Mus musculus: one gene and its partners. The protein of the gene in region 4 purifies or fractionates together with the protein of the main gene of each other region. This does not show direct contact. Links are inferred from orthologs where the notes say so. Each region holds a gene or a part of one and is shown on either strand. Other genes may lie near its edges. The genes, in order: Cul4a, Hspd1, Dcaf7, Ambra1, Dnajb1, Bag5 and Stub1.

Region 1 (4,174 bases), on a different chromosome or scaffold from region 4:
CAGGAAAAGGGGGCTTTGGTAATAGAGCTAAGCGCAAATCCAAGGTTCATAAGCAGCCATGAGCAGCAAGTGTAGTCAGTTAAAACGTTCATCAGTCTTCCCTATCTGGCTGCCCCTTGCACCAGGTGTGTTGCCTAGTGGGATTCACATCTTCAACACCCTAGAAGACGCAATCACGGCCCTCCACCCGGATGCAACAGTGTTTGCCTGTGCCACTCCCAGGCTTTAAGTAAAGCCTTGATGGGCACCGCTGCCAAGAGACACAACGTGCTTCGTGCGGACAGCAGCGCTGACTACACAGACAACCGTTTCTACAAGTGGCCCCGATCTTGCTACCTCCACCTCGGATCCTCCTCCTCCTGGTCCACCGGGCAGCACCTGCAACTTCCGAACAAGGCAGGCTGCCCACCGCGTGCAGCACACCCTCCTCGCCTCGAGGCCAGCCGCAGGACCCCCGGCACCGTCCGACCCGGCCCCAGGACTCACCCCTCGTGGCCCGTAGGCCAGGATACCAAGCGAAACCCACCTGCTGTAGGTACTGGTTAATGGTGATGTGCGCCATAGCGGCGGCCGCGGGTGTTGAGTGCCTCACTTCCGGCGCAGGTCCGTTTCCGCTCCTTGTCCCCACACGGTAACCTCTGCACGTTGGTTCCGGAGCGGGTGAAGGTGGAGCGAGCCGAGCCGAGCCGAGCCGAGCCGGTGGTGAGAGCACTTCTTTGGGGGCAGCTGTCAGCGCGGTCGCCGGGACGCCTCGGGTGCGGCGGGGGCGCGCGCGAGGGCGGAGGACTGACGTGGAGGAGTTCCCAACCGACTTGGGAACGTGTCCCTGGTCACGTCGGTGTGCTAGCGACCCGATTCCTCGCACCCCTCTCCCATGAGGGTGACCCGATCCCCAACCCTCCGTGTGCAGAGGCGCTCCTGACTCTCCCGGAACCAAAGTCCAGAGCCCACTGGGAAGGCGTCCCGCGCACTCCTAGGATGTGTTCCTGAGTCCTCCCACATCTCACACTGGGGCACCCCAGATAAATGGGTGCAGAGCATCCCGTCCCCAACCCCTCGGCGCGCTAGCGCACGGAGCAGCATCCCTGAGCATCCTAGGTGTAAGGTGATCCAGGAGGCAAGGTTGCCGGGTGCTTTTATCCACTCAAGTCCTCGCCGGGGTGTCCTCGTCACGGCCCTCGACGTGACGTGGGGCGGCGAGCTCCGGAGCCCTCGGTGCAGGTGTCACGGCGCCCTCTCGCGAGCATTCGTTGTAGAACGCCTGCGAGTCCCCGAGCCCTCCTTGGGCGGAGTTCGCGCATAGGAGGAGGAGCCGGATCGTTCCGGTGCGCGCCGCGGCGGTTGGGCCTCGGGCGCGCGGACCCGGCCGCGAGCAGAAAGAGGAGGAGCCGAGCGCTCACGGGCGGAGCCCGACAGCAGCAGGAGGAGGAGCCGGGCGCGCACGGAGCGGGCGCAGGGCAGGAGGAGGAGCCGGGCGGCGCGGGGCGGGGCGGCGTCCGGCCCAGCCATGGCGGACGAGGGCCCTCGGAAGGGCAGCGTCTCGGCTCTCATGGGCCGCACCAACGGCCTCACCAAGCCCGCGGCGTTGGCCGGTGGCCCCGCCAAGCCGGGGGGCACGGGAGGCTCCAGGAAGCTGGTCATCAAGAACTTCCGAGGTGGGTGCGCTCCGGTGAGGAGCGAACGGGGCGGCCGGCGGGTCGCGCGCTCGGACAGGGCCTCCTGGGGCTGCCCGGCAGGCCCTGTCCCCGCGCCCCGGCCCGCCTGGTTCCCGCACTGTCCCGTCTCGGCGCCGCAACCCGACTTGTCCCTGCACCTCACGCTCCGCCACGTCCCCGCGCCCCAGCTGGCCCCGATCCCGCACCTCCTGGCTAGCCCGGCCGGGCCCTGCCTCGGTGCCCCGGCCTGTGCTGTCCCCGCGCGGCCGTTGACCCTCTCTCCCCCACAGACAGGCCGCGGCTGCCTGACAACTACACTCAGGACACGTGGCGGAAGCTTCACGAAGCGGTCAAGGCCATCCAGAGCAGCACATCCATCAGGTACAACCTGGAGGAGCTGTACCAGGTGAGCGGCGGCGAGGGCCTGCGAGCACCTGGCTGGGTTCCTCCTCCAGCAGCCACCGGGGCCAACGCTAGGGAGGCCCGCCCGTCCGCCCGCCCGCCCGGGGAGAAGCTGCGGCCCGAGCCTTCCCTAGCGGAAGCCGCGAAACCCTGGGTCAGCAGGTGTTTCTATGGATCGCCGCCCTGGATTAGTGCTGTGTGTTGAGGCTTAGACCAGGCTGCTTAGGAGGTGTACGTTTTCCCAGCGCCAGAAGAAAGGAGGTGTTTGGAGCTAAGAGGCACAGAGCCCCCAGCAGTCTTCAGTGTTATCAGAGTGCCAGTGTGTTATACATGGAACTCAGTACGGCCCCACTTGCTAGTAGGGTCCCTGGGTTGTGACACACACACCCCCTCCCCAACACACACACACTGTTTTGTAGTTTAATTATTGCAAATAAGGTTGCAGACAGATTCTGGTAGGGTTTTTGTTTTGTTTTGTTTTGTTTTTTTTTGAGACAGGGTTTCTCTGTGTTGCTCTGGCTGTCCTGGAACTCACTCTGTAGACCAGGCTGGCCTTGAACTCAGAACTCCACCTGCCTCTGCCTCCCGAGTGCTGGGATTAAAGGTGTGCGCCACCACGCCCGGCGATTCTGGTAGTTTTAACTTAAAGACAAGTTGTGTCTGCAACAGGGGGGGAAAATCATCCGAAGTACATTTTGCTGTTTCAAGCACACTTTTCTGTCATGGTTTTATACAATAACTGCTAAATATTCTGTGTTTTAGTTTGTGATAGAACAAATAATTACTTATATGTTACTTAAAAGTTACCTAAGAGGCTTGTTTTATCCTGGTTACAAACTGAGTGTATTGTAAGTTACAGAAAGCACAAGAAGAAAAGTAAGCAGTGGTACCCGAAGGAACCTGTGGCAGGCCCATCACTCCCAACCCCAAACTCCCAAATCCAAAACTTGTAGTGCACTCATGAAAAAAAGACCCACACCTGACTTCCTCTGCTGGGCCTCAGACAGAACACAGTATATGCTAAAACTGTTGAATAAAATGACCATCGAGCTAGGGCCAGCCAGATGACCCAGTAGGTAAAGCGCTGGCAGAGCCAGCTTGACAACTTGTGTTCGAACCTCAGAACCCTCAAAAAGGTGGAAGGAGAAAACTGACTGGAGACGCATCCCCAGACCTCCAGCCTCTTGACGTGACACAAGCACCCACACATACACTTGGTGTACACACACAATGATAAAACAAGGGATATGGGGTACGAGTCAGCTTTGTGTCTGTTTACACTTGATTCTCAGTACCCAGATACATCATTGTGTATGTGCAAGTATTAATCCGGAAGAAAAACATCTGAAATCCACAACACTAGTAGCCCCAAGCATTCTGGGTAAGGGACCACTGGCCGATGGTGACGGATTGGTGTATATGTGTCTGTTCTTTGTCTTAAGTTTGTGAGTTGATTGTGTATTGAAGGAGAGGATTTTATTTAAGGTTTTGTTTTTGTTTTGTTTAGACAGGGCTCACTGTGTAGCCTTGGCTATTCTAGAACTCACTGTGAACAGTCTGACTTACAGAGATCTTCCTGCCTCTGTCTCTTGGTGCTGGAATTAACATTATGCACTACTACACCCGCCTAAAGATTTGCTTTTATTTTTATTATTTTAAGTATGTGCCTATGTGTAGGTGTGCATATGAATACAGTGTTGGGGGCATGTGACATGTGCTCCAGTAGGTTTATTTTGTTTATTTTATTTTTTTATGAGAAGAGAGAGTCGGTTGGTTTTATTTTTTACGAGATTCACTGTGGGGCTGGAGAGATGGCTCAGCAGTTAAGAATGCTCTTACAGAGGTCCTGAGTTCAATTCCCAGCAACTACATGGTGACTCACAACCATCTGTCATGGGATCTGATGCCTCCTTCTGGTATGTGTGAAGACTGGGACAGTGTACCTTATAACTATGGGGAAAAAAAAAGGTCTCACTGGGTATTAGTCCCGGCTGCCGCTCATGTGCCGGGGCTATAGGTTAACTCTAACATACTTGTCCCAGTAGATTTTAATGGCCTAAGATAGAGTTGTTTGCCAGCCGCTCAGTGAAAATGTAGACTGTTTCCCTCCCCGGTAA
Region 2 (3,500 bases), on a different chromosome or scaffold from region 4:
CTGAACTCTCATGTGGTGACACAGCGCTACAGTCCTGATGCTCACAGAACAGTAGAGATGCCTCAGTGATTTAAGTTGAAAGCAGGACACTGGTATATGGCTCTTGCACCCAGCATCAGGAATGTACAAATGTCTTTATTCAAAAATACAAAATAAATTATCTGTAGGCATGGACAATGACAGCAGTAAACCATTATATATCGTCAAAGGAAACCAGTAACTGATGATTACAGTGGTCAGCCAGCCTTCTCTTCAGTCATTTTCTCCAGGTGACTTCTCTGAAGTTATTGGTGAGGAACCTGCCTTGAGCTTCCTGTCACAGTTCATTGATAAGGGCAAAGCACTACTCTAGGAGTTAGAACATGCCGCCTCCCATACCCCCTCCCATGCCACCCATTGCACCCATTCCAGGGTCCTTCTCTTCTTTAGGAATTTCTGTCACTACAGCTTCGGCTGTAGTTAGCAAGGAGGCCACCCCAGCAGCATCCAGTAAGGCAGTTCTCACAACCTAGAAAAAATTTTAGTAAAATAATTTATGAATAAAAACCATGCAGAGAGCAAGACATCCAGTGTGTATGAAATGCTGAATCACTTACCTTTGTTGGATCAATGATCCCTTTTTCCACCATGTTCACAAAATCTCCAAGCATGGCGTCATAACCAACTTCTGAGGAACTCTGCAGAATTTTCTCAACTATCAAAGATCCTTCAACACCTGCATTCTTAGCAATCGTCATTGCAGGAATTTTAAGTGCTCTTTTAATAATTTCTATACCTATAAAACAAACACATTTTTACAAATTTGCTTTGTCTTCTCTTTCTGGGGAGCCAGAGGACTTAGTTTAATCCTTAGCACCAATGTAACTCCAGGTCCAGGCTACCTAATGCTCCCTTCTGGCCCAGAGAATACTGTAAATGCATAGCACACAAGACATGAAGGCAAAATGCACCCCCCAACACACACAAAATAATTAAAAAGAAAACAAGAGTTTAGTAAATGAGAAGACTTATCCAATCCTACCATAGGTGAAATAATTCCCCCTGTAAAATGTGTTACATTGCTAATCAACAATACTTTTCAATAAGAATGAGGCCACAAACTCATTTGAAAGATGATCTTTACCTATTTTCTGGTCTTCATTAGCAGGCTTTAATGAATCCAAGGCTGGGATGCACCGAAGCAGAGCGCAGCCCCCTCCTAGAACAATGCCTTCTTCAACAGCTGCTCTTGTAGCATTGAGAGCATCAGTAACTCTGTCTTTTTTCTCATTCACTTCAACATCACTTGTTCCTCCAACCTAGAGATTAAGAAATTCCAGTTAGCATGACCTTTCCCATTCAATGACCACCTAAAGCCACCTAGAATGCAGACATAAGCTGGGTACAGCATCATGTAAGTCATGACCCCTGCAGTTGAGAGGCTAAAGCAGGTGGGTTACACCAACTGAGGCCAGCTAGGGCTACAGCAGAGTTCAAAACAAAAGCAACAACAAAAGAAGCAACTCTAGAATAACATATATATTATAATGTGTCCCACTGACAAAATCCTGAACCTCCCCACACAAGCTGTACTGCTGTGTGAGAAAAGGATACTAGCCAAACAGCAGTGCACATGCCTTAAATCCCAGCACTTGGGAGGCAAAGGCAGATGGATTTTCAGTTCAAGGATAGCCTGGTCTACTAATTGAGTTCTAGGACTGAAAATCCTGTCTATAGAGTGAACAGAATGAGTTCCAGGACAGTCAGGGTTACACAGAGAAAAAGGAAAGAGAAAAGAGCGAGACTGGGAAATTGGGTAGGGGTAGACTGCACAACACAGCACAAGAACGGTTTCATACTCATGCATAATACCAGTAGGGGATAGATGCCTATTTATGGCTCAGAAGGCATTGGGATATAACCCAAATGGGCCAAAGGTCTTGCTTGCCCTGCAAGCCAATGGCCTGAGTATTCCTGGAATCACAGTGGAAAGGTAGATGACCAACTGCTGGTAGTTGCCCCCGATTGCTACATGTACTCTATGGAAAGTTTGGTCATATGCACACTCAAAAAACAAAACAAACTAAAAATTCTGGGAAAGGAGATATTCATTTAGTTACTATTGGTAAATACCACAGAACCAGTATCACGATACTCAGCCTAAAATGTTTACCGGCAAGTCAGTCTTACCTTCAACACAGCTACTCCATCTGAAAGTTTAGCAAGTCGCTCGTTCAGCTTTTCTTTTTCATATTCACTAGTTGTGATGTCTAGCTGCTCAGTGATTTCTTGAATACGTTTTTCAATGTGAGCTTTGTCACCTTTTCCTTTCAAAAGCATGGCATCATCTTTGGTGACAATGACCTCCCCAACTTTTCCTAAGTCATGAGCTTGAACATCTTCAAGATTTAGATTCAACCCCTCTTCTCCAAACACCTATAAAAGCAGTGTGCTATTAGTGGCTTCCATTATACCAGGCTTATTACTATATGTCACAGATATTTTGTAAGAAGAAACAGCTTTTCAGGGCTAGCAAGATGTCTCAGCAGTCAAGAGCACTGGAAGGCTATTCTGCTCTTCCAGGTGTCCTGAGTTCAAGTTGCAACATGGCAGCTTGCAACTGTCTATAAACTGCAGTCCTATGGGACTGGATGGACGCCTTCTGGTATGCATACACCATACAAACAGGCAGACAAAACATCCATATACATAAAGCTTAAAATATCCAGAAAAAGAAATGCTGTTTTTCTTTGAGATGTCAAGACCACTGGTATACCAGAACAAAATCACTTAAAGTTTTGAGAAGAATGTTTAACTATGTCCATTCTCACGCCAGGCTCAGCAAGTTAGAAACATGACCTTAATCCAATACCTGTGTACCAAGCAAAAAAATAGCAAGCCAGGCGTGGTGGCGCACGCCTTTAATCCCAGCACTCGGGAGGCAGAGGCAGGTGGATTTCTGAGTTCTTGGCCAGCCTGGTCTACAAAGTGAGTTCCAGGACAGCCAGGGCTATACAGAGAAACCCTGTCTCCAAAAACCCAAATAAATAAATAAATAAATTACTTAGCAACAGTCCTATCTATTTATGAAGTATACATTGTATTTGCAGCCTGGAAGCATAGACATCACTAAGCAAAGCAGTATGACAAGATTTACTTACTGCACCACCAGTAGCAATAGCCATATCTTTAAGCTGGTTCTTCCTATTGTCCCCAAATCCTGGAGCTTTGACTGCCACAACCTGAAGACCAACTTTTAGCCTGTAAAGAACATTTAACTGTGTAAGATGTAAACTGAAGGGGGAGTTGGGAGAAAGCATCTAATTTAGTTCCTGGTAAGTTCTAGTACTATATACAACTATTAGTACTATATAACTCTATCCCAATCCTACTCTTTTCCCACAACTCCTGGTCTGAAAAAAGACAAGATGGGGACCTCTACTCATCAAATCTTGTTCCAAGCAGATCCCCTTCTTAAACAAATGCTGCCCTTATATTGCAGACACAGTTGTGAGTCAGTA
Region 3 (4,294 bases), on a different chromosome or scaffold from region 4:
TTCCAGGACAGCCAGGGCTATACAGAGAAACCCTGTCTCGAAAAAACAAAACAAAACAAAAAAGACCTGTTCCGTAAAATAGATAGATAGACCTCCGCTAAGATTGTACTACAAGACCATTATTAACCCACTGAAAAATCAGAAATGATGTAACCAATAGAAAACTATGGACCAAATTTCCTGATATGCACAGAAATAAAACGTTTCAATAAAATACACACCTAGGTATCCAGTTAATTTTCTTTTAACTTTTATTATTTTGAAACAGATTCTCAACTAGCCCAGGCTGCCTCTAATTGGCTCTGTAGCCCAGGATAAGAGTGACTTTCTGGTTCTCCTGACTCTACCTCCCAAGAGCTGGATTAGAGGTGTGTAACACCATGCCTAGGCTCTATGTAAAAATAAAAGTGCCCAGTAGACTTGTTCATACAGGTGGCCATTACTAAAAGATGGTTGATAAGTGTATACTATTGTCCCTCAAGGCTTCCAAGTGTTTGTATCCATTAAAAATTGTATTTTACAGACTGGAGAGGTAGGATAGCCCTATGGGCACTGGATGCTCTTGCAGCAGACCTGGGTTGGATTCCCATCTGTAACTAACTCCAGTTCCAGGGGATTGAATGCCTCTTCTGACCTCCGTGGGCAACTGTTCACATGTAGTACACTTACTTATACTCGGGCACATACAAATACACGTAAAATTAACGTGTTTTAAAGTACTGCCTAACAATTCAATACAACCCCTTTCAATATCGTTGAAAGAATTTACATTTATATTGGTGTACCTAGATCCAGGTTTTTCTGCATTTCAAACTCATGGCATATAAGCATTTAAAGTTGGATTACCATTTGGCTTCTGAACATCCCAGAGGAAGAAGGTAAGTGACTAATAGCCAGGTCATTTGCAAATCGATCCCAGAATTCAGGAGTCTCTTTAGTGTCTGTAGGAAAGCGCAGGAAAGCCTTAATCAATCTAGCCTGTCCCTGGACGTTTCTATCATGCCTGAAAGAGAACAGTTAAAAGGTGGGCATTGGAGCTGGAGAGAGTTCCCGTTTGGCAAAGACTGAGGGACCGCCGGACATAGGGAGATGTAATAAACGCAGGTGGTCCTCCATGAAGGTAGGTTTGACAGTTACTGTCAGTGGAGAGAGGTGATCAGAACAGCAGCAGCAGAGGAGAAATAGCAGGCTTTACTCTTGGCCTAGAATTTGGATCAGTAGAGGGGCACACTTGCCCCCATGCCACCCACGCCCCCATTCACCCGCACTGCGCCGTTATCCCCTTGACTGACATCTTGGGTAGCCAATGATCTTTGGGACTTCAAAAGAGCCCGCCTCCAGGAGCTGGGCGGGGCTAATGAGCAGAATGACAAACATTTTCACCAATAGTAAGGAGGGCGCGGGCGCTACAACTGTGTCGACCAATGAAAAGAAGGAACAGTTTGGAAAGGACGTACCCGGCAGCCAACGCTCGTCGCCGCTGCGGGGTCGCGTGGCTTCCGTTCCGAGAGGGCGGGCCGGCATCCCAAACGGAAGGTGGTAGCGCTGCCCGAGCTGGTTTGAAACTGGTGGTCGGGCCCGGCCGAGTGTGAGTGTGTGTAGCCGAGGACCCGCTGGAGGGCTAGGCCGTTCTTGACCGCCCCGGCCCCGCCTCCCCTCGGACCCGCGGACCCAAGCCCGGGTCCCCGCCTGTCTTGTGCCCCAGCCCGCTGCCTCTCTGGCCGGCTCTGCGGCCCAGCCGCCACCATGTCCCTGCACGGCAAACGGAAGGAGATCTACAAATATGAAGCGCCCTGGACTGTGTACGCCATGAACTGGAGCGTGCGGCCGGACAAGCGCTTTCGCCTGGCGCTGGGCAGCTTCGTGGAAGAGTACAACAACAAGGTGAGTTGTGCCGGGGCTCAGCGTGTAGCCGGCGGGGAACGCTCGAGGTGGGCGGCAGCCCCGGTCCCCACAACTCTCCTGCAAACTCGCCTTGACCACAACAAGGGGGTGGGTCCTCTGTGGTCCTGTCGCTGAGGTTGTCACACTCGTTGCCTCTTATTTAGTTTTGACAGCCGGGGGAAACCGAGGCACGGTGTTGTGACATGCCTGAGGCAGATAAGATTTTCGATGGTAGTAGCAGGTTTCAGATCGGAGTCACACCCCCAAAGCTATGTCCTCCGTCCCTCTCATTTCCCCCACTCCTGTCGCAGTGCTTCTGTTGCTAGGTGGGGGGCGGGAGAGAGGCAGTGGAGGAAGATGCGGCGCTTGGATTGGTGGTCGTGCATTCCTGGCCACGCGAGATTTCTGTTAGGGCTATTTATTGCAAGATCTTCCCCATCTCAGGTGTTTCTCATGGATACAGAGCCCTAATGCTAGGTTGTCATTGGTCATTGGTTTTGCTCCTTGATGTTCACCCTCCCCCAAACAGCCTATCCTTGGAAACCTTAGTCTGTGGCATTATCCCGCCATTATTTCTGAATAGAGAAAGATGACGTTTGACCTGTTCTTTTCGTGGTTCTTTACACATTCATTTGCAGCATTGCTGGACATCATCACTTCATCAAAACACTGGCAGAAGGAGAGAATTTTTATATGCAGGGTATAGGTTTGAAAGTATTGAGAAGAATTTTCTTTCCCTAATCTCTTACCTTCATTCTTTTGTTGTAATTTGAGTTAAAAAAAAAAAAATGAATGACAGTAATCAGAGATACTGAAAGCTTTGGCCAGTGGTATTTATAGCCAGTACTCTGCCTTACTCTTATGAACATCAGACTGGAGACAAATGACAAGATGGTGGGAGCAGTGGAAGAAGTAGGTGGTCTAGGATTTAGCTATAAGGCATTGAACAAACCAGATTTTATTATTTTTGACCCACAGTGATCTAGGAGAGGGCTTCTGTTTTATATGTGAAGGGTCAGGTGAAAACATTTGAGCATTTTAGGTTTGTTTATGGTATTTCGGGAGCACATGTGTTTCTCTGGGAAAGGGTCACCATTTTTTGGCATCTTCTTTGAGAAAAGGGTGAAAAGGATGGCCTTTGATTGTCTAGACGTCACACATACACCAGCAGTTTACAGTCCCAGGGAGTGTGTACCGAGCCGCCCTTTCCTAGTGAAGAGCCCTATTTCTTGTCTCCTCTCTAGTGGCTTTTTTTACCCCCACAGTGGCAGTAAAACTGGAGCTGGGCTTCAGGGTCCTGGTGTGCATAGTGTCTTATGAGGTTATTATTTTTTGAGACAGTCTCATGTGGCCCACCTGCCTCCACCTCCCAAATGCAGGGATCACCAACATATGCCACTGTGTCCCACTACCTTGTGGGTTTTGTTTTTCTAAAATAAAAGTGCCATATCTCCTTTGTTTGTTATCATAAGCTCCTTGAAGAAAGAAAATTTATTCCACTTTAGGACACACAGTGTTCATGTGGAACACCACAGTGGACGTGTTTGAGTGTGGGATAAACACGTCTGTGTTATTCAAATCAACCAACACTTGGAGTCATTAATCACTTTCCCATAGCTGCTGATATAACCAAAATCAGCCATGCATGAGACCCTGGGTTCCATCCCCAGCACAAGAATAAAAAAGTTTTCTAACTAAATTATCTGACTCCCTACCTCATCTGAACTGAGGCGCAGAGGCAGCTCATGCACAGCCACACAGGCTGGGGAGAACGTGGTTATGATTATCAGGTGGGGTCTAGAGAGAACCAGGGGTAATTCCTACCACCCGCATGGTGTCCCAATTCCAGTTCCAGGGGAGCCAACAGGCATGCATGAAGTACACATACATGCATAAAGAAGAGAGAATGAGAATTTAAAAGATGTCCACAAGGTGGTCAGACACCTTCTATGCATAAACAACAATTTAAAAACCAATCTTTCAAAAAATAAAAATGAGGAAAAGTAGGCCAAGAATGGTGACGTGCCTGAAATCTCAGCAGGTTCCGATTTGAAGGCCAGTCTGGGAGACTTTTTTTTTTTTCAGTGCGTGAACAAAACCCTCAGATATGTAGTTAAAGATCCTGCTTCGTAGCTCTCCTCTCTAGGGTTTCGTTTCCCAGGTTGGAGGAAGTTGTGAAGAGTGACTGCACAAGGCTCTGAAGGTAGGGGACAGACGAGGCACAGAATGGCAGAGCATGGGGAGACTGGAGGAAGGACTGGCTGTCAGCAAGATGACAGTGTCAGGGTCAATTTCCCCAGCACTCCCTTAGTGTGTAAGGAAGAGCAGTAGGATGCTGGACCGTGGGAGAGGATAAGAGGGGTACCTCTGGCTACAGATGCCAAACTCAGAAGAACTGTACTTGTCCGCA
Region 4 (4,281 bases):
GAAGATAGACTTTGAAGTAATATGGATTACATAGTGAGATTCTGTTTAAAAAAAAAAAAAAGCCAGGCATGGTTGCTTATAATCCCAGCACTCAACTAGCTTGAGGCAAAAGGATTGCTGTGAGCTTGAGGTCAGCGTGGGCTTCATAGTGAGTTCCAAGCCAGCCAAGCTATAGAGTGTGAGCCTCCACTGCAGTCTCTCACACTCCCTCAGGCACACTGCAAATGTGGAACAGGAAGGCAAGCACATCAGAATTTCAAAGCCATTCTTGGATACACAGAGTTCAAGACCAGTGTGTGTGCCACACAAAATCCTGTCTCTAAAAACTATTTAGTGAACTAGCTACGAAGCTAACTAAAAGCACACTGTGGACTGTGGCTTTAGATCCTTGGAAGAAAATAAAAGAGAAGTAAGTGGTTTTTTTTTTGAGAAAGAATAGAATAGGCTGGGAGGTTGTGGTGTTCACCTTTAATCCCAGCACTCCGGAGGCAGAGGCAGGCAAATCTTTGTGAGTTGGAGGTCAGCCTGGTCTACAGAACCAGTTCCAGGACAGCCAAGGGTACACAGAGAGAAGCCTTGTCTGGCAAAACAAAACCAAAGAATAAAAATTTAAAAACAAGGTACAGGAACTTTCCCTTCCCACATTAAGGTGTGCCATTTTCTCTTGGATATTCTTCTAAAGCTGACCTGGAGCATTCATAGCGATTGTTCTTCAGCTCTGAGGGGAAACCAAGAATAAAGTGGTAAAGTCATTTGTTCAACTGGGACAAGTAGTGTGAGAAGTCTCTAAGTGTACGGCAGTCGTTGAACTATTAAGACGAGCTTTATTCTGCTATGATTTATCTTCAATCAATGTGCTCACAAAAGGCTAATTCCTTTTTCACTTAAAACAAGGTCTTTGGTGGCGCATGCCTTTAATCCCAGCACTTGGGAAACCCTGTCTCGAAAACCACACACTCAAAAAACAAAACAAAAACCAAAACCTAGCCAAACCAACCAACCAACCAAAAAAAAAAAAAAAAAAAAAAAAAAAAACAAAAAAACAACAAAAAAAAAAAACCACCAAGGTCTCATATAGTCCAGTTTGGCCTTGTGCTTAACTGACTATGACTTTGAACTCCAAATCCTCATGCCTCCTTTCCTAAAATGCAGGGACTACGGGGGGAGGGTGTGGGGGACTTTTGGGATAGCATTGGAAATGTAATTGAGGAAAATACGTAATAAAAAAAAAAAGTACCAGGAAAAAAAAAAAAAAGCAGGGATTACAAGCGTGCTCCTGTCTCAAAAATTTAGTTCTCTAAATTACTTTAACACTCTGTCACCAACAGAAAATGGCAGAATCCCAGCCTACTCTACGCTATAGTTTAATGATCTGGATTTGTTTATTTATGCCTAGGAAGGCAGCCGGATTTGCAGCAGGAGCTGAGCAATGTTTCGGCACTCGGCTGCAGTGCCTTGAACGATTGCTGGGGCGCTCTTCCTTTGATGTCTGGGCGTTCGTGTGTTCGATGATCTTTTGCGGCGTCTTCTTGGTTGATGTCTCCGGAGCGGCGGCGGCTGTGCCAGGTCCTGGACTGAGTTATCCCGGAGGCCCCGGGCTCTGGCCGCTTTCTTCCGCTGGTCGGTCGAGCGGACCCCTCGCTTTCTTCGGCCTCTCCCCGCCTTCCGTCCGTGGCTCCGTGCGCTCGCTGGCTTTCGGGCCGAGCTCTCACTCTCCTCGCAGGTAGGCCCGGGAGGAGCCTGGGAGGCCCGGTCCCGCATCCTTCCGCCCAAGGCAGGAGGAGACCTTAGCGCCGGCCGGTGGGCGAGCGCGCGGCCCGCCGGGGTGCGCGTTGTGAAGGGGGTTGCGCCCGGGGGCGCGGCCGGAGGGCGGCCCGGAACTGAGCGAGAAGCCGGAAGGAGGGAGAGATGCTGAAGCTGCCGGCCGGGTTCCGTAGAGAGGGGATGTCGGGTCCTGGACGCGTGTCGTCACCCCTAGATTGTAGGAACTTGGCTTTCTTAGACCCTATTCCCTTTCTCCTTTCCTACAACTCCGGTTCCGGATGTCATGCTCAGTTGCACTGGGGACCCCTACTGAGTTCAGCCTCGGAGTGCCCTTTTGAGTAGGTGGAGGCTATTGAAACTAGGCCCTCCAGCTCCTAGGAACGAAATATCACTTATAGTCTTTTGGGGTAGGGAAACCGAGGCTGAGGTAGGGGACGTGACTTTTCCCTGTGACCTCGACAGATCATTAAATGTGCTGTAAGGTTCTTTTTTTTTTTTTTTTTTTTTTTTTTTTGTCTTTAACAGTTCACAATTCTCCCATTTTACTGGTCACTTTTTACTTAACAGTCTCTCATTTGACTTTTTGGAACTCTTCTTTCTTAGAAACATATATTGTGTTACTGGAGGCTTCAGACATTAAGGGAGCAAGTGATGTTTTTGACTGGGTTTGCTTTTTCGAAGTTTGTATCGTTTTAGCAAAAGTAGTAAGGATAGTTTAGTTTTGTTTACTCATAAATAATTTGTTTACTTCCACTTTACTTCTGATTAATACTGATTCCACTCTTCAGCTTGTTCTGAAACTTTCTGCTATGGTGTTAAGTACTTAGTGCAAGATGGAAGATGCTTAAGATGGTTAAGACTTTGAATTCAGGTTCTTGTCTTGTGGAGGTCTTTTCTAGGAGGGAATCCAAGGAATCTCTTTTGAAACTTTTTTTTATTTGGTTAGTGATTTAGTCATTTTATTCAAGAGTTCAAAAGTCTGTGTAGAAATTATTCAAACATAATTGAAGATGAATCATTTGTGAACTTTACTGTTTCTCTCTTTTTTTTTTAAAGATTTATTTATTATATGTAAGTATACTGTAGCTGTCTTCAGGCACACCAGAAGAGGGTGTCAGATCTCATTACTGGTGGTTGTGAGCCACCATGTGGTTGCTGGGATTTGAACTCAGGACCTTTGTAAGAGCAGTCAGTGCTCTTACCCGCTGACCCATCTCGCCAGCCCTCTCTTTTCTTTTTCAAGGCCTTAAGGTCTAAGTGTTTTTGTTAATTTCATTTAATCAAATGTCTTGATCCTAAAAAAAAGTCTTGGAGGTTGTTTGATGTTGGGTAAGTTTCCACACTATATAGAAGTCATAGGAGAGTTGATTTTAAGGGTGTATAGATTGTGAAAATCAGTTTCTGCACAGTTTTAAGATGCTTCAGGCCGGGCGTGGTGGCGCACGCCTGTAATCCCAGCACTTGGGAGGCAGAGGCAGGCGGATTTCTGAGTTCAAGGCCAGCCTGGTCTACAAAGTGAGTTCCAGGACAGCCAGGGATATACAGAGAAACCCTGTCTCGAAAAAAAAAAGAAAAAAAGAAAAAAGATGCTTCAGGAACTTTAGAAAGATGATAGAATTTTACATTGTTTCTCTAATTTTTCCTTTAATGTATGTGTAAGGTCAGTGAGGTTTATTATTATTTCTCGCCTTTAGAAGTGCTGGGAATTTTGAACCCAAGGTCACACGCACGTGCTCTTCCACAGAGCTACATCCCTACCCCTGAGATCAGTAATACTTAAATGAAGGTGATTGATGGAATGATTGATTGTGTGTCTGTGTGTCTGTCTGCACATGGGCATGCCATGCATGCATATGGATGTCAGAGGACAATTTCCAGGAGTCATTTCTCTCTGGCACACGGTTCCCAAGTGAATTCAGGTCATCTGGCTTGATAGTAATCTGAGCCATTTTGTTTTTTTTTTTTTGTTTGGTTTTTGTTTTTTTTTAGACAGGGTTTCTCTGAGTAGCCCTGGCTGTCCTGGAACTCACTCTGTAGACCAGGCTGGCCTCGAACTCAGAAATCCACCTGCCTCTGCCTCCCAAGTGCTGGGATTAAAGGTGTAAGCCACCACTGCCTGGCTACTTGATTCATTTTTGTATGCTTTTTTTTGTTTGTGTGTTGCTGTTTTTGAGGCAGGATCCCTTATATTCCAGGCTAGCTTCATTGACTGTGCAGCTGAGGACGGCCTGAGCTCTTTGATCCTCCTGCCTCCACCTCAGTTACTGGATTACCAGTGTGAACCACTGCTTGACAATTACTGAAGTCAATTTGGGCTGTTTCCTGGGATTTCAGAAATGTTCACATTATGACTGAGTTATTCTGTATTTTCATAAGATGGTTCTTGTGGATAATTAAGAGATATAAGCTGCCTGGTGTTGGTGGTTCACACCTTTAATTCCTGCACTTGGGAGGCAGAGGCAGGCGGATTTCTGAGTTCGAGGCTGAGAAACCCTCTCAGAAAAAAAAAAAGAAAGA
Region 5 (4,125 bases), on a different chromosome or scaffold from region 4:
AACTCACTTTGTAGACCAGGCTGGCCTCGAACTCAGAAATCCGCCTGTCTCTGCCTCCCAAGTGCTGGGATTAAAGGCATGCACCACCACTGCCAGCTCACTATCTCTGTCTCTGTACCTTTAAAGACACTTTCTCTACAAGTGTTCCCTAGCTCCAAATCCATGGGGAGGCGGGGGGCAGGGCTCAACTGGTTCGGTTTTCATGGGGTCAGTACAGTTAGGAAAATCAAAACACATACACCACACACAGCTATACCATTAACGGAAGGCTAAAGTCATTTTTCTCAGGGGTGCCTAGGGCAAGGGTTATCTGACTCTCCTCCTACAGAGCTTCCAGAAAGGGAATGTCAACAGTTGTCCACTAAACAAGATGATTAATCATCTCTTTCAAGAACACCCTTTGTCCCTTGTCTTTAACAAATGCAGAATAATGTCAACTTCACCATATTCCACGACCATTCCCTTTGTACAGATGACCACACTGAGACCAGAAAAGCTACTCTACCAACCCAAGGTCACACAGCCAGAAAGTGCTAGGATGAGAGTCAGTCTTTCATGCACTTTCAGGCAGTCCCATTCCCTGCAAGAACCACCAATGACTATTCCAGCTTCTCTATGCCTTCCAATATCTGAAGCTCTCTCCTCTTCCTCACTCAGCTCCGTCCTTGACCGCCATCATCCCAGACTTACAAAACCAAAAGCAAAAAGCTATACTATATCAAAGTATTTGGAAATATTTACGAAGCACCCAGTGGATCTTTAAAAAAATCACGCAGCCCTGGTGGTAAACTCAGACGGCAAAGGAAGTGACAAGTATCAGAACGCCAAGAGGCGAGCTAAACCCAGTAGGAATTAGTAGGAAGTAAGATAAACCGGAGAGGCAGCCCGACTGCAGCAAGCCCAAGGCAGACCAGTCTCACCTCGCTTTACAGTAACGGCCTTACGGGAAAAACCAAGGGCTACGGGCAGAAGAGGGCGGGGTGCCTATTTTTATCCCTGGGTTAGAGCAGGAAAGCTTAGAGGTACTTGTCAGGTAGCTACCACAAGTCACGCAGCAGAACCTCCCAGCCGGCGATAACCTGGGGGAAAGGGTGCGGCCTTTCGGAGAGGCCCGTCTCTGTAGCCCCGCCCCTCTTCGCGCCTCCACCTGTCCGCAGAGAGAGAGAGGGTTGCGATTGGCTGGATCCGCTACGGAGGCGGAACCCCAGCAGCCGGCGCGCGCGCCCGAGGAAGGCGTTGACCAGAGTAGAGAGGGAAGGGGCGTGGCCCCGCGCGGAAAGCCGTTGGCAGCCGGGTCCCACCCCGGATGTGCTGCGTCACGGAGCGGGCCGCAGCGATTGGCCGGTGTCGTGCGGCGCATCGGGAGGGGCGGAAGGTTCTGGAGGGCTGGCGGGATCTGGAAGCTTCCGCCGGACGGGTATATAGAGTCCGGGACGGGGCAGCAGCGGAGCCGGAGGCGGCGACAGCTGGGCGGCGGTGGCCATGGGCAAGGACTACTATCAGACGCTGGGCCTGGCCCGCGGCGCGTCCGACGACGAGATCAAGCGAGCCTACCGCCGCCAGGCGCTGCGCTACCACCCGGACAAGAACAAGGAGCCCGGCGCTGAGGAGAAGTTCAAGGAGATCGCCGAGGCCTACGACGTGCTCAGCGACCCGCGCAAGCGCGAGATTTTCGACCGCTATGGAGAGGAAGGTACGTGTGCGCGCGGCCGGGGTGACCCGCCGTTTGACAGGCGGGGAAACCGAGGCACTCGGAGCCTCTCCAAGACCTCGGCCGGGGACAGGCATTCCGGGGATCTAGCGGCGGCGCCGCCTCCTTCACCCTCTGATCCGCGGCCTCAGACAGGAGGAGGAGCTCTGGGCGCGCCGCTGGCACAGAAGCTTCTAGCACGTCTGCCGCAGCCCCTCCCGGTCGGTCGCCTGCACAGCGCCGGAATGGTGCAGATGGAGGGCGGCGGTCGCGATGGGAATGAAAATTGCCCGAGTATTGATTCTCTTTCCTAGCCGCAAGCTCAGTGTTCGCTCACCCAGGGTTGAGCCTTTTTGGTAACAGTGCGTAGGAGCTTCTCTGTAAGATGGTAACAGCATAGCTGGGAGGATGGAGCAGTCACGTAAACCTGGTCGCACCGAGATCTAGAGGCCTTACTACCGAATATGTTGTCAGGAAGTAAAACGGAGTAGTGTGTTTCTTGCTCCTATTGCCATTGGGAGTTAAAAGACTTGAGATTCGTCCTTGACTAACAAGCTTTTTAATATATACATAAAATCCCTCCCGCTATAGTTCCTGTGGCCTTTTTACTAAGAGCAAAACTTGTTGAGCAGAGTGCGGGGGCTCACACCTCCACATGGGAAACCGAATTAGGAACGCTGTGAATTTGCTTCAAATCAGAGCTACAGGGTAATAAGCTCCTGTTTCCAAAGGAACCGGATGTTGTGACAATCCCCCCTCTGGGGTATTTGAGTCAGGAGGATTGCCTTGAGGCTACTCTGGACGAAAGTTTGTGTGTTACGTGGCATTGACAGTAATACATGCAAAAGGAACAAAATGTGACCATTTATTTGAGACAGGACCTCACTGTTGCTGGAACTTTGTTTTTCAATTTATTTGAGCGTGTGCCTCCGTGTATATGTGTATACCATTCACATGCTTCTAGAGAAGAGGGCATTAAAGGTCCCGGAACTAGAGTTAGACCATGGTCTGCTGCTATGTAGGTGTTGGAAATTGAACTTGGTTCTTCTGCCAGATGAGCCAGTGCTCTGAGCCATTTCTCCAGCACCTCATGGTGGAGCTCTGGCTTGTCTGGAACTTGCAGAGATCAGTCTGCACTTGTCTTGAGAGTGCTGGGGTTCTGAGCTCTTTGTTTCAGGGGTTTTATGTTTTATAAGTGTGTTGAAGTGTTGGGGGTGGAGGGAGGTGGGGCTGACTCTCCAGCAGTAACCCTGACTTGTGGTTTTGGTTTCCAGGCCTGAAGGGTGGTAGCCCCAGTGGAGGAAGCAGTGGTGGTGCTAATGGTACCTCTTTCAGCTACACATTCCACGGAGACCCCCATGCCATGTTTGCTGAGTTCTTCGGTGGCAGAAACCCCTTTGATACCTTTTTTGGGCAGCGCAACGGGGAAGAAGGCATGGACATTGATGACACATTCTCTAGCTTTCCAATGGGTATGGGTGGCTTCACCAACATGAACTTTGGACGTTCCCGCCCTTCTCAAGAGCCCACCCGGAAGAAGCAAGATCCTCCAGTCACCCATGACCTTCGGGTCTCCCTTGAAGAGATCTACAGCGGCTGTACCAAGAAGATGAAAATCTCCCACAAGCGGCTGAACCCTGATGGAAAGAGCATTCGAAATGAAGATAAGATCCTGACCATCGAAGTGAAGAGGGGCTGGAAAGAAGGGACCAAAATCACCTTTCCCAAGGAAGGGGACCAGACCTCGAACAACATTCCAGCAGACATCGTCTTTGTTTTAAAGGACAAGCCACACAATATCTTCAAGAGAGATGGTTCTGATGTCATCTATCCAGCCAGGATTAGCCTTCGGGAGGTAAGGTGCTAGGTGGGTGGAGGAGTCATAAAAAGAGATGGCTGCTGTGAGAATAATGGGTTGTGGGGTTGGGGGGGCTTTGGAGTGGGGTGTCAGCGGGCCTGGTCTGGTAGACCTGACCCTTCTCCGGACGGTCTGGAGGAGTGAAGCTCCTAAGCCAGCCACTGCCTGACACTGTCCTTTTGCTTCCCTAGGCTCTCTGTGGTTGCACTGTGAATGTCCCTACTCTGGACGGCAGGACCATCCCTGTTGTATTCAAAGATGTCATCAGGCCTGGTATGCGGCGGAAAGTCCCTGGAGAAGGCCTCCCTCTCCCCAAAACACCTGAGAAACGTGGAGACCTTGTTATCGAGTTTGAAGTGATCTTCCCGGAAAGGATTCCCGTCTCATCCAGAACCATCCTGGAGCAGGTTCTTCCCATATAGCCACCTGCACTCCTCAAGGACTGAGCCAGGGGCTTTCAGAGCTGCAGATCTCCAGACCGTTCCACTGGTTGCATACTGCGGGAGGGCCCAGGGAGGGCTTTTGCTCTGCCGAATGTTTTCCACAGAATATATTACAATCTTTCAAAGTCGCGCAC
Region 6 (3,953 bases), on a different chromosome or scaffold from region 4:
CCTCCTTCCCTCTCTTCATTATTGCTTAAACCAAGCTCTCTAGTCTCTATCACTAGCTTAGTGGTCATTGAAGTGTTAGTAGCCACTGATTAATGTTTTACCTCCAGCCTTAGCGTTTTCATATGACTGATAGACTCTAAACCTAGGCCTTTTTTTTTTTTTCCCGAGACAGGGTTTCTCTGTGTAGCCCTGTCCTGGAACTCACTCTGTAGACCAGGCTAGCCTCAAACTCAGAAATCTGCCTGCCTCTGCCTCCCGAGTGCTGGGATTAAGGCGTGGGCCACCACGCCTGGCAACCTAGGCCTTCCTTAAGCAAAGCATTCTGTTGCAAAGAAGTGCAACTGAGGGCTGGTGAGATGGCTCAGTGGGTAAGGGCACCTGACTGCTCTTTGGAAGGTCCAGAGTTCAAATCCCAGCAACCACATGGTAGTTCACAGCCATCCGTAACGAGATGTGAACTCCCTTTTCTGGAGTGTCTGAAGGCAGCTACAGTGTACTTACATATAATAAATAAATAAATCTTAAAAAAAAAAAAAAAAGAAGTGCAACTGACTAAAAAAAAAAAGCTTTATTTAGTTTTATATATGTGAGTGCATTGTTACTGTCTTCGGTGTTCCTAACAGCTGAACCATCTCTCCAGCCCAGCAATTGTTTTTTTGAAAAAGGCTTCACGCCCATTCTTGCTGCAGACCTGCACTGTGGATCTCTGACATCGCGTGCACGTTTACAAACAATGCGAAGTCTACAGAAGTGGGATGATGAAGTCAGCCACGGCTTTAAGTCGAACACTAATCTTAACGATGCGAAAATGAGAAAGAACACCCTTCAAGAGCTGTGTTAATACAAATGGGAATTAACTCGGGGATAAGCAAGGCTCGCGCTCTCCACAGCGGATCCCGGGCAGTGATCATCAGTCCGTCGGAGAGGTGCAGGCGGCGTGGGTTTGCTCGGCGGCCTTCCTCCCTGCCAGCGCCCCCGGCGTCCCGCTTACCCGGCTGGACGCCGCATCCCTGTGATCCGTAGGGCGCTCACGGGCCAACCTAACGCCGCCGCCGCCGGAGAAGGACCGGCAGAGAAGCCGGCGAAGCGCTCTGCTTCCGGGCCGCAAAGCCGCCATGGCCCGCGCGTACGGCAGGATCGCGACAGTGGAAAGGTTGGCGTTACGGCGGCGTCGCAAAGCCCGAGCCGACGCGCGGCGAGGCCGACCGTGCGCATTCCCTGGGACGGACGCCGGGCGGCGGGGCCCGCGCGGGACGAGGAGAGGACAAGTTTTCCCCGGGCTCACTGCTGACGGGCCCGCTCTGCGAGGACGGCGACAACGCTGCGGAAGTGTAGGTGGCGGGGCGCGATGGCGCGTGCGGCCCAGGTGAGCGTGGGGCGAGGGCGCGAGCTCCGTTCTCCCGGCCTCGGGCGCTCCGCCGCCCTCGCTGCGCAGGCCCGCGCCCGCCGCGCGCCCATTGTGAGGTCAGGCGGCGGCGCGTCCGGCCGGGCCGAGACCCGGGAGCGGCCGCCGCGGCCAGTAGCTGCCGCCGCCTCCGCCGGCCCCTTCACCGGCTGCCCGGGTCAGACCTAGCCGGGAAGGGCGAGGGGGGATGCCGCTGGGGGCACCGCTGCGGTGCCGCTCCCCGTGAAGGGCCGATCTCCCACCTCGCAGCCCCCCGCGGCAGCCAAGACCGCCGCCGCCCAGACCTCCCGGGGTAAAAGCTCTGCGAGGGCCGGGCTTGGACCCTCCCGGGGACTGAGTTCTGTGGCCTGCCCGCCAGAAGTGAGCTGTTTGACAGAAACCTGAGAGCGTGGGAAATGCTCTAAGCGCACATACCGGGAGGCGAGTGACCGAGTTAATCGCAGTCGGCAGGTTTGGGCGGCGGGTATTTGAAGTCAGGGTGAGGATTTGGAAGTTTCGTAGCTCCTCTTTCAGAAAAGTAGAAAGTTAGCTAGCTGTCTGGACGAATGGTGCTCCTGTGAGTGTGGAAGAGCTACTGTTAACTTCCAAACTGGTTCCAGAGAGTAGATTAGGATGGGGGGGGGGGGGATCTAAGGAAATTGTGTTGCTAACCTGGTGGGTTGACTAGAATGGCAGTGTACGCAGCTCGCTCTCATGGTTTAAGACAGAATTCATAGGCCTAGACATCCACCCAGGCTGGATCATGAGGACCTTCTGTCTGTCGTTCAAATCCCTACCGTGTTCCCCTATTTCCGTTTTGCTTTGAATTCTTAGGGTCACCAAGTAGCCCATGGTGATCTTGAATTCGTAGTTCCCTTTCCTCTGTATCCCCGACGCTAGGATTGTAGGGATACACCAGCACACCGGTGAGCTTGCTTTGTTTTGTTCCTGTCCAGCTGTTTTCAGGAGAGGGAGTTGACATGTCACATCTTCCCTTTCCTCAAGCAACCTTTTACACCTTTGACGAAACCTTTTGTGTATTTTGGTGCATGCCCAGGTGCCAGAGTTTGGCCTCCCTGCCCGCCCACCATCATTTCCTTGGTGTCCTTTGACTTTGGCTTTTGAAGTGGGGCTTCCCATGGTCCTGAAGGTCCTCGGTTAGGCTAACCTGGGCTGGCCAGTGAATCACGAGATCCATCTATCGCCGTCTCCCCGGCACTGGCTTGCCTGGCTTTTCTGTTTTACTTCATGGGCGTTGGCGCTTCGCCTGCATGGATGTCTGTGCATCACTGTGTGCCTGGTGCCTCTGAAGACAGAAAGGGAATCAGATGCCCTGGGACTGGGGTTACCTGTGTGGTCATGCACTGTCATGTGAGTGCTGGTAATCAAACCCAGGTCCTCTAGCCAGCACCTTTAACCACTGAGCCCTCTCTCCAGCTCCGCCCCAGCTTTTTTTTTTCCACATGTGTTCTGGAATTCCAGCTTGGACACTTGATGAAAAATTATCTCCACAGCCCGAATGAGCCCTTTTAACAAGTGTACTAAGAAGGAGTGTTTAGAGTGGGTTCTTGTCCTGCAGAGACTAATACGTTATCATTCTTGCTATCTTTCAGTGCTTGTGAAACTGAACACAGAAGTATGGATATGGGAAACCAACACCCCTCCATTAGTAGGCTTCAGGAGATCCAGCGGGAAGTAAAGGCTATAGAGCCGCAAGTGGTCGGCTTCAGCGGCCTGTCGGATGACAAGAACTACAAGAGGCTGGAGAGGATTCTGACCAAACAACTTTTTGAAATTGACTCTGTGGATACGGAAGGAAAAGGAGATATCCAGCAAGCTAGGAAGCGGGCGGCACAGGAGACAGAACGTCTCCTCAAGGAGTTGGAGCAGAATGCCAACCACCCACACCGCATCGAAATCCAGAATATCTTTAAGGAGGCTCAGGCCCTTGTGAAAGACAAGATTGTGCCCTTTTACAGCGGAGGCAACTGTGTGACTGACGAGTTTGAGGAAGGCATCCAGGACATCATTCTGAGGCTGACGCACGTGAAGACCGGAGGGAAGGTCTCCTTGCGGAAAGCCAGGTACCGCACGCTCACCAAGATCTGCGCGGTACAGGAGGTTATTGAGGACTGTATGAAGAAGCAGCCGTCCCTGCCACTGTCTGAGGATGTGCATCCTTCAGTGGCCAAAATCAACTCTGTCATGTGCGAGGTGAACAAGGCCAGAGGGACGCTGATCGCACTTCTGATGGGCGTGGACAGTTCCGAGACTTGCAGGCACTTATCCTGCGTGCTGTCAGGACTGATTGCTGACTTAGATGCTCTAGATGTGTGTGGGCGTACAGAGATCAGAAATTATCGGAGGGAGGTGGTGGAAGATATCAACAAATTACTGAAATACCTAGACTTAGAAGAGGAAGCTGACAGTACACATGCATTTGACCTGGGACAGAACCATTCCATTATAAAAATAGAAAATGTTCTCAAGAGGATGAGAGAGATAAAAAATGAACTTCTCCAGGCGCAGAGCCCTCCTGAGTTGTACCTGAGGGCCAAGACAGAGCTGC
Region 7 (4,064 bases), on a different chromosome or scaffold from region 4:
TCCAAACGCAAGCCCACAACAGAGCTAGGTTCACTTGGCCTGGGTCCTGTAATTCTTGGCAGGTCCTTGTGGGAGGCCCAGTCAGGGTGAAGGTCAGGCAGCAGGTCTGGGCATACATCTGCCCCCCAAGTTTGCACAAGACGAAGAGTCTACAACTCTAAGACACTCACTAGTGAGGTCCACAAGGGTTCTGGGGTCAAGTTACTAACCACCAGAACCATGATGGGGCCCTGGATGACCTCTCAGGCCCCGCTCAGCCCCGCTCAGAAAGGCAGTGAACTCTTGCACCTGGGCTAGAAACAGCAAGTAGTGCTTGAGTGTGTACTGGAGGGTTAGCAAGCTAGGAACTGTAGCCACCGCCTCTTCGTATATGAAAGCTGCAACCCCAGAAACCTCTGCCTCCAGGACCACTGCAAAGAGTGACAAGGAGGTTCTGGGGATAGCTTTTTTTGAGCTCCTAGAGCCCCCACCCAACTTGGGCAAAGATGCTACCTACTCACTCGAGGCAGTGGCAGAAACCACGCAGCGAAGTTTGACTGCGGCGCCCAGATCAGCAGAAAGCCGAGTTCTGCTTCTCCAAGTCCGGGGTTGGGGGTGTTAGCGGCCAACAGCTGATGCAGCAGCGGCTAGAAATGCCTCAACGACAGACCATGGGGTCAAAGGGTCTTGGTGCAGGCGCTCTCCAAGGAAACCAGCCGGCTCCGCCCTTGAAGAAGCTCCTCCCCATGACCGCGAGAAGGGCAAGAGTCCAGCCGTGCACCCGCAGCTACTTCTATAGCAACCGCAGAAGGTCCTTCGGTGTCAGCGTGTCACGTGCTTGTTTCTCAGCCATTAATGGCCGCAGGCAGCTCCTCCCGATTCCCGAGGAAGCCCCTCGAGAGCGGTCTGATCTGCGGGCCTCTCTTCTACCCTCAATTCCGCCTTCCTACCGGCGGTCCAGACGTTCCCAGGCTGTCGCGTGAGCCCGTGTGTGCCCTGGTGGTGCGCTAGGACCCGGGCCTAGTGACCGGCCCTCGGAAGGCCACTTCTCAATGACCGCTGCCACGTTCGCCCAGCTTGGGGCCGGAGGGCGGGGCTTGAGCGCCGATGGGCGGAGCCTTGGTCTGAGCAGGGTAGGTCTCGGTTACTGTAGGGCGGGGCCTGTAGAGCGCGGCGGAAGCTTCTCAGAGCTAAGGGAACTGGCTCAATCCACGAGGCTCCGCCTTTGCTCACGTGTCCCCATGCCAGCTCCGCCCCACACCGGAAGTTCCGGTGGCGGATCGCCGACCGGGCGGAGCTGATCGCTGCGCGGGCTGCGAGATCTAGGTGGCCGGGCGCGGAGCCCAAGCCGTGCCGCGCGGCGCCATGAAGGGCAAGGAGGAAAAGGAGGGCGGCGCGCGGCTGGGCACTGGTGGCGGCGGCAGCCCTGATAAGAGCCCGAGTGCGCAAGAGCTCAAGGAGCAGGGAAACCGGCTCTTCGTGGGCCGCAAGTACCCGGAGGCGGCGGCCTGCTACGGCCGCGCCATCGTGAGTGCGGGAGGGGCGGGGGCGGGGCCCGATGTGCCTCCCAGTTTTGTGATCCCGGACAGGGTTTCTGGCAGCCTGGACTCGATGGCTCGCTCGCTCCCCTGGTGCCCGGATTGCTGTTCCCGAGTCTAGGGCTGATTTGACTGGGAACTGGCGGGCGGGATGCTTGATTAAGTAAGACTAAGGATGACACCAGGAGCTCTTGCCCCTTGAGATTTCCAAGCCCAGAGCTTGTAGAGGGGTTGTGGGATTTCTCTCAAAAGCAGTTGGAGGCAAGAAAGCATGGCCAGAATCCAGAGCTCTTGATAATTCGGAAATCTCCAGTTCCTCTATTCCAGCCATGGGCCCCCAAAGCTGGAGCATTGACCAGATCATTGGCTTTCAGCTTGCTAAATGAGAGGGGATCAACTGAGCCCACACTCTTTGACGCCTGGTCTTGGTCCCCAGACTCGGAACCCACTTGTGGCAGTGTACTACACTAACCGGGCCCTGTGCTATCTGAAGATGCAGCAGCCTGAACAGGCACTTGCTGACTGCCGGCGAGCCCTGGAGCTGGACGGGCAGTCTGTGAAGGCGCACTTCTTCCTGGGGCAGTGCCAGCTGGAGATGGAGAGTTATGATGAGGCCATTGCCAATCTGCAGCGAGGTGGGCTGACAAGATGCAAGGTTGAGGGCACCTTGGGGGACCAGGATTGTTGACAAGTGTAACCAAAAGTGTCCACTCCCCTAGCCTATAGTTTGGCCAAGGAGCAGCGACTCAACTTTGGGGATGATATTCCTAGTGCCCTTCGCATTGCTAAGAAGAAGCGCTGGAACAGTATCGAGGAACGGCGCATCCACCAGGAGAGTGAGCTGCATTCATATCTCACCAGGCTCATTGCTGCTGAGCGAGAGAGGTGGGTCCCTCCCCCAGCAGACACTGAGTCACCAGCACAAGTGTTTTTATTGAAGGACAACAACCGGTACATGGGAAGCCCAGGAGGAAAGAGGCCTGAGATGGGGCGGGCTCTGTGATTTCCTGGTCAGGGCCATCACCAACTAGCTTCTGGTTAACCCTCAGGGAACTGGAGGAGTGTCAGCGGAACCACGAGGGTCATGAAGATGATGGCCACATCCGGGCCCAGCAGGCCTGCATTGAGGCCAAGCACGTGAGGGTGCCCCTAGTCCACATGTGGGTCATTGTGTGTGTGTTTGTGTGTGGCATGAAAAGTGCCCCAGCCTTTGGTGGATCTGTTGGCCCATGCATGACATGAGTGCCCTGGTGGACAGAGTGTGTGTGTCTGTGTGGAGACAGGAGTTGCCCACACATGGCACTCAACTCTGCAGGATAAATACATGGCAGATATGGATGAGCTCTTCTCTCAGGTGGACGAGAAAAGAAAGGTGAGGACCCCCGGAAGCTCATCGGCTGCTGCTGGTATGGTGACCCCCACAGCCCCCTCCAGTTCTAGACATTTTCCCCTTGTGCTATAGAAGCGAGATATCCCTGACTACTTGTGTGGCAAGATTAGCTTTGAGCTGATGCGGGAACCCTGCATTACACCCAGTGGTATCACCTATGACCGCAAGGACATTGAGGAGCACCTGCAGGTAAGGAGGGCCCATGGAGACCGGGCCATGGAGAGCCTTGGTACCCGGATCGGTATACTCAGGCCATTGAACACTCTTGACTCTGTTGCAGCGTGTGGGCCACTTTGACCCTGTGACCCGGAGCCCTCTGACCCAGGAACAGCTCATCCCCAACTTGGCCATGAAGGAAGTCATTGACGCTTTCATCTCTGAGAACGGCTGGGTAGAGGACTATTGAGGCCCCATGTCCTGCCTGGCACCCTGGCCCAGGAGGATCTGGAGACGGAAGCTCCAGTCCCTGTATAGTTTGTGTCCCTGGGCCTGCCCCCATCGGCCCTGCTGATGGGTTCTGAACTGCTCCCCTTCTCAGCATACCCCTTGCTGGACCATGAGCCTCCCTTGTCCCCCTTCTGGGCTGGAGAGTGGGTGAGGGTGGGCTGAGGTTGCTGCTGCTGCCACTGTCCTGTAATAAAGTCTGTGAGCACTACATTGGCATGTGCTGGTGCAGTGGGCTTGCCAGTTGCCTGTCTGGCTAGCCAAGGAAGGTAGAAATGAAGACACTGGTGTCCAGATTGAGTGTGGCATGCCACCACCGATCAGGAAAATACAGTACCTGGGAGAAAAGAAAAAAAAAATTTTGATTCATGGCTTTTTGAGTTAGCCCAACCCCCACCTACCAGCTACTGACTTCACCAGCCTGGATGGTACATTCTAGAGGCCGTGCTGACAGGGCTAGAGATGGGTATATTTCCAGCAGCCAGGCCAATGTGGTCTTGTTAGGGTGGAACTCAGGTGTCTTCTCAGGAGGGTAGAGGAACCAGCGCTGGAGGCAGGAGTGTAAGGTCACTATGTGTGCAATGGACTATAGACACCAGATTTACACACACACATAACACACACATAACACTGTACTGACCTTCCGACCATAGATAACCTCTGAGAAACCAGGCCCATGCCAGTGGAAGGGTACCCCAGATCCAGCTCCTGTG

What was found.
Region 1: the proteins of Ambra1 (region 4) and Cul4a purify together in Homo sapiens (affinity purification with mass spectrometry; 11 studies listed by BioGRID and IntAct, with this or other methods). This does not show direct contact. The link is inferred for Mus musculus from reciprocal best matches to the Homo sapiens genes AMBRA1 and CUL4A.
Region 2: the proteins of Ambra1 (region 4) and Hspd1 purify together in Homo sapiens (affinity purification with mass spectrometry, with the first as the bait; 3 studies listed by BioGRID). This does not show direct contact. The link is inferred for Mus musculus from reciprocal best matches to the Homo sapiens genes AMBRA1 and HSPD1.
Region 3: the proteins of Ambra1 (region 4) and Dcaf7 purify together in Homo sapiens (affinity purification with mass spectrometry; 3 studies listed by BioGRID and IntAct, with this or other methods). This does not show direct contact. The link is inferred for Mus musculus from reciprocal best matches to the Homo sapiens genes AMBRA1 and DCAF7.
Region 5: the proteins of Ambra1 (region 4) and Dnajb1 purify together in Homo sapiens (affinity purification with mass spectrometry, with the first as the bait; 3 studies listed by BioGRID). This does not show direct contact. The link is inferred for Mus musculus from reciprocal best matches to the Homo sapiens genes AMBRA1 and DNAJB1.
Region 6: the proteins of Ambra1 (region 4) and Bag5 purify together in Homo sapiens (affinity purification with mass spectrometry, with the first as the bait; 3 studies listed by BioGRID). This does not show direct contact. The link is inferred for Mus musculus from reciprocal best matches to the Homo sapiens genes AMBRA1 and BAG5.
Region 7: the proteins of Ambra1 (region 4) and Stub1 purify together in Homo sapiens (affinity purification with mass spectrometry, with the first as the bait; 3 studies listed by BioGRID). This does not show direct contact. The link is inferred for Mus musculus from reciprocal best matches to the Homo sapiens genes AMBRA1 and STUB1.

Annotation. Positions count from the first base shown.
Region 1 is NC_000074.6:13,104,249-13,108,422, forward strand, and holds the start of Cul4a (cullin-4A), read left to right. Parts: upstream 1-1,374; 5' UTR 1,375-1,507; coding exon 1,508-1,655; intron 1,656-1,945; coding exon 1,946-2,061; intron 2,062-4,174. Other genes in the region: Pcid2 (PCI domain-containing protein 2), read right to left, coding at 527-562. UniProt on the Homo sapiens protein: Core component of multiple cullin-RING-based E3 ubiquitin-protein ligase complexes which mediate the ubiquitination of target proteins. As a scaffold protein may contribute to catalysis through positioning of the substrate and the ubiquitin-conjugating enzyme.
Region 2 is NC_000067.6:55,077,933-55,081,432, forward strand, and holds part of Hspd1 (60 kDa heat shock protein, mitochondrial), read right to left. Parts: intron 3,241-3,500; coding exon 3,141-3,240; intron 2,416-3,140; coding exon 2,170-2,415; intron 1,299-2,169; coding exon 1,124-1,298; intron 776-1,123; coding exon 597-775; intron 509-596; coding exon 356-508; 3' UTR 1-355. UniProt on the Homo sapiens protein: Chaperonin implicated in mitochondrial protein import and macromolecular assembly. Together with Hsp10, facilitates the correct folding of imported proteins.
Region 3 is NC_000077.6:106,035,378-106,039,671, forward strand, and holds the start of Dcaf7 (DDB1- and CUL4-associated factor 7), read left to right. Parts: upstream 1-1,494; 5' UTR 1,495-1,746; coding exon 1,747-1,884; intron 1,885-4,294. UniProt on the Homo sapiens protein: Involved in craniofacial development. Acts upstream of the EDN1 pathway and is required for formation of the upper jaw equivalent, the palatoquadrate. The activity required for EDN1 pathway function differs between the first and second arches.
Region 4 is NC_000068.7:91,728,657-91,732,937, forward strand, and holds the start of Ambra1 (activating molecule in BECN1-regulated autophagy protein 1), read left to right. Parts: upstream 1-1,481; 5' UTR 1,482-1,723; intron 1,724-4,281. UniProt on the Homo sapiens protein: Substrate-recognition component of a DCX (DDB1-CUL4-X-box) E3 ubiquitin-protein ligase complex involved in cell cycle control and autophagy.
Region 5 is NC_000074.6:83,606,850-83,610,974, forward strand, and holds the start of Dnajb1 (dnaJ homolog subfamily B member 1), read left to right. Parts: upstream 1-1,325; 5' UTR 1,326-1,482; coding exon 1,483-1,693; intron 1,694-1,698; exon of another isoform or gene 1,699-1,911; intron 1,912-2,964; coding exon 2,965-3,545; intron 3,546-3,739; coding exon 3,740-3,970; 3' UTR 3,971-4,125. UniProt on the Homo sapiens protein: Interacts with HSP70 and can stimulate its ATPase activity. Stimulates the association between HSC70 and HIP. Negatively regulates heat shock-induced HSF1 transcriptional activity during the attenuation and recovery phase period of the heat shock response.
Region 6 is NC_000078.6:111,710,457-111,714,409, reverse strand, and holds the start of Bag5 (BAG family molecular chaperone regulator 5), read left to right. Parts: upstream 1-1,153; 5' UTR 1,154-1,366; exon of another isoform or gene 1,367-1,883; intron 1,884-2,997; 5' UTR 2,998-3,022; coding exon 3,023-3,953. Other genes in the region: Coa8 (cytochrome c oxidase assembly factor 8), read right to left, coding at 992-1,117. UniProt on the Homo sapiens protein: Co-chaperone for HSP/HSP70 proteins. It functions as a nucleotide-exchange factor promoting the release of ADP from HSP70, thereby activating HSP70-mediated protein refolding.
Region 7 is NC_000083.6:25,830,134-25,834,197, reverse strand, and holds Stub1 (STIP1 homology and U box-containing protein 1), read left to right. Parts: upstream 1-1,278; 5' UTR 1,279-1,344; coding exon 1,345-1,506; intron 1,507-1,953; coding exon 1,954-2,152; intron 2,153-2,236; coding exon 2,237-2,402; exon of another isoform or gene 2,403-2,566; coding exon 2,567-2,654; exon of another isoform or gene 2,655-2,832; coding exon 2,833-2,889; exon of another isoform or gene 2,890-2,979; coding exon 2,980-3,096; exon of another isoform or gene 3,097-3,187; coding exon 3,188-3,313; 3' UTR 3,314-3,564; downstream 3,565-4,064. Other genes in the region: Jmjd8 (jmjC domain-containing protein 8 precursor), read right to left, coding at 3,608-3,688, 3,764-3,898, 3,992-4,059. UniProt on the Homo sapiens protein: E3 ubiquitin-protein ligase which targets misfolded chaperone substrates towards proteasomal degradation.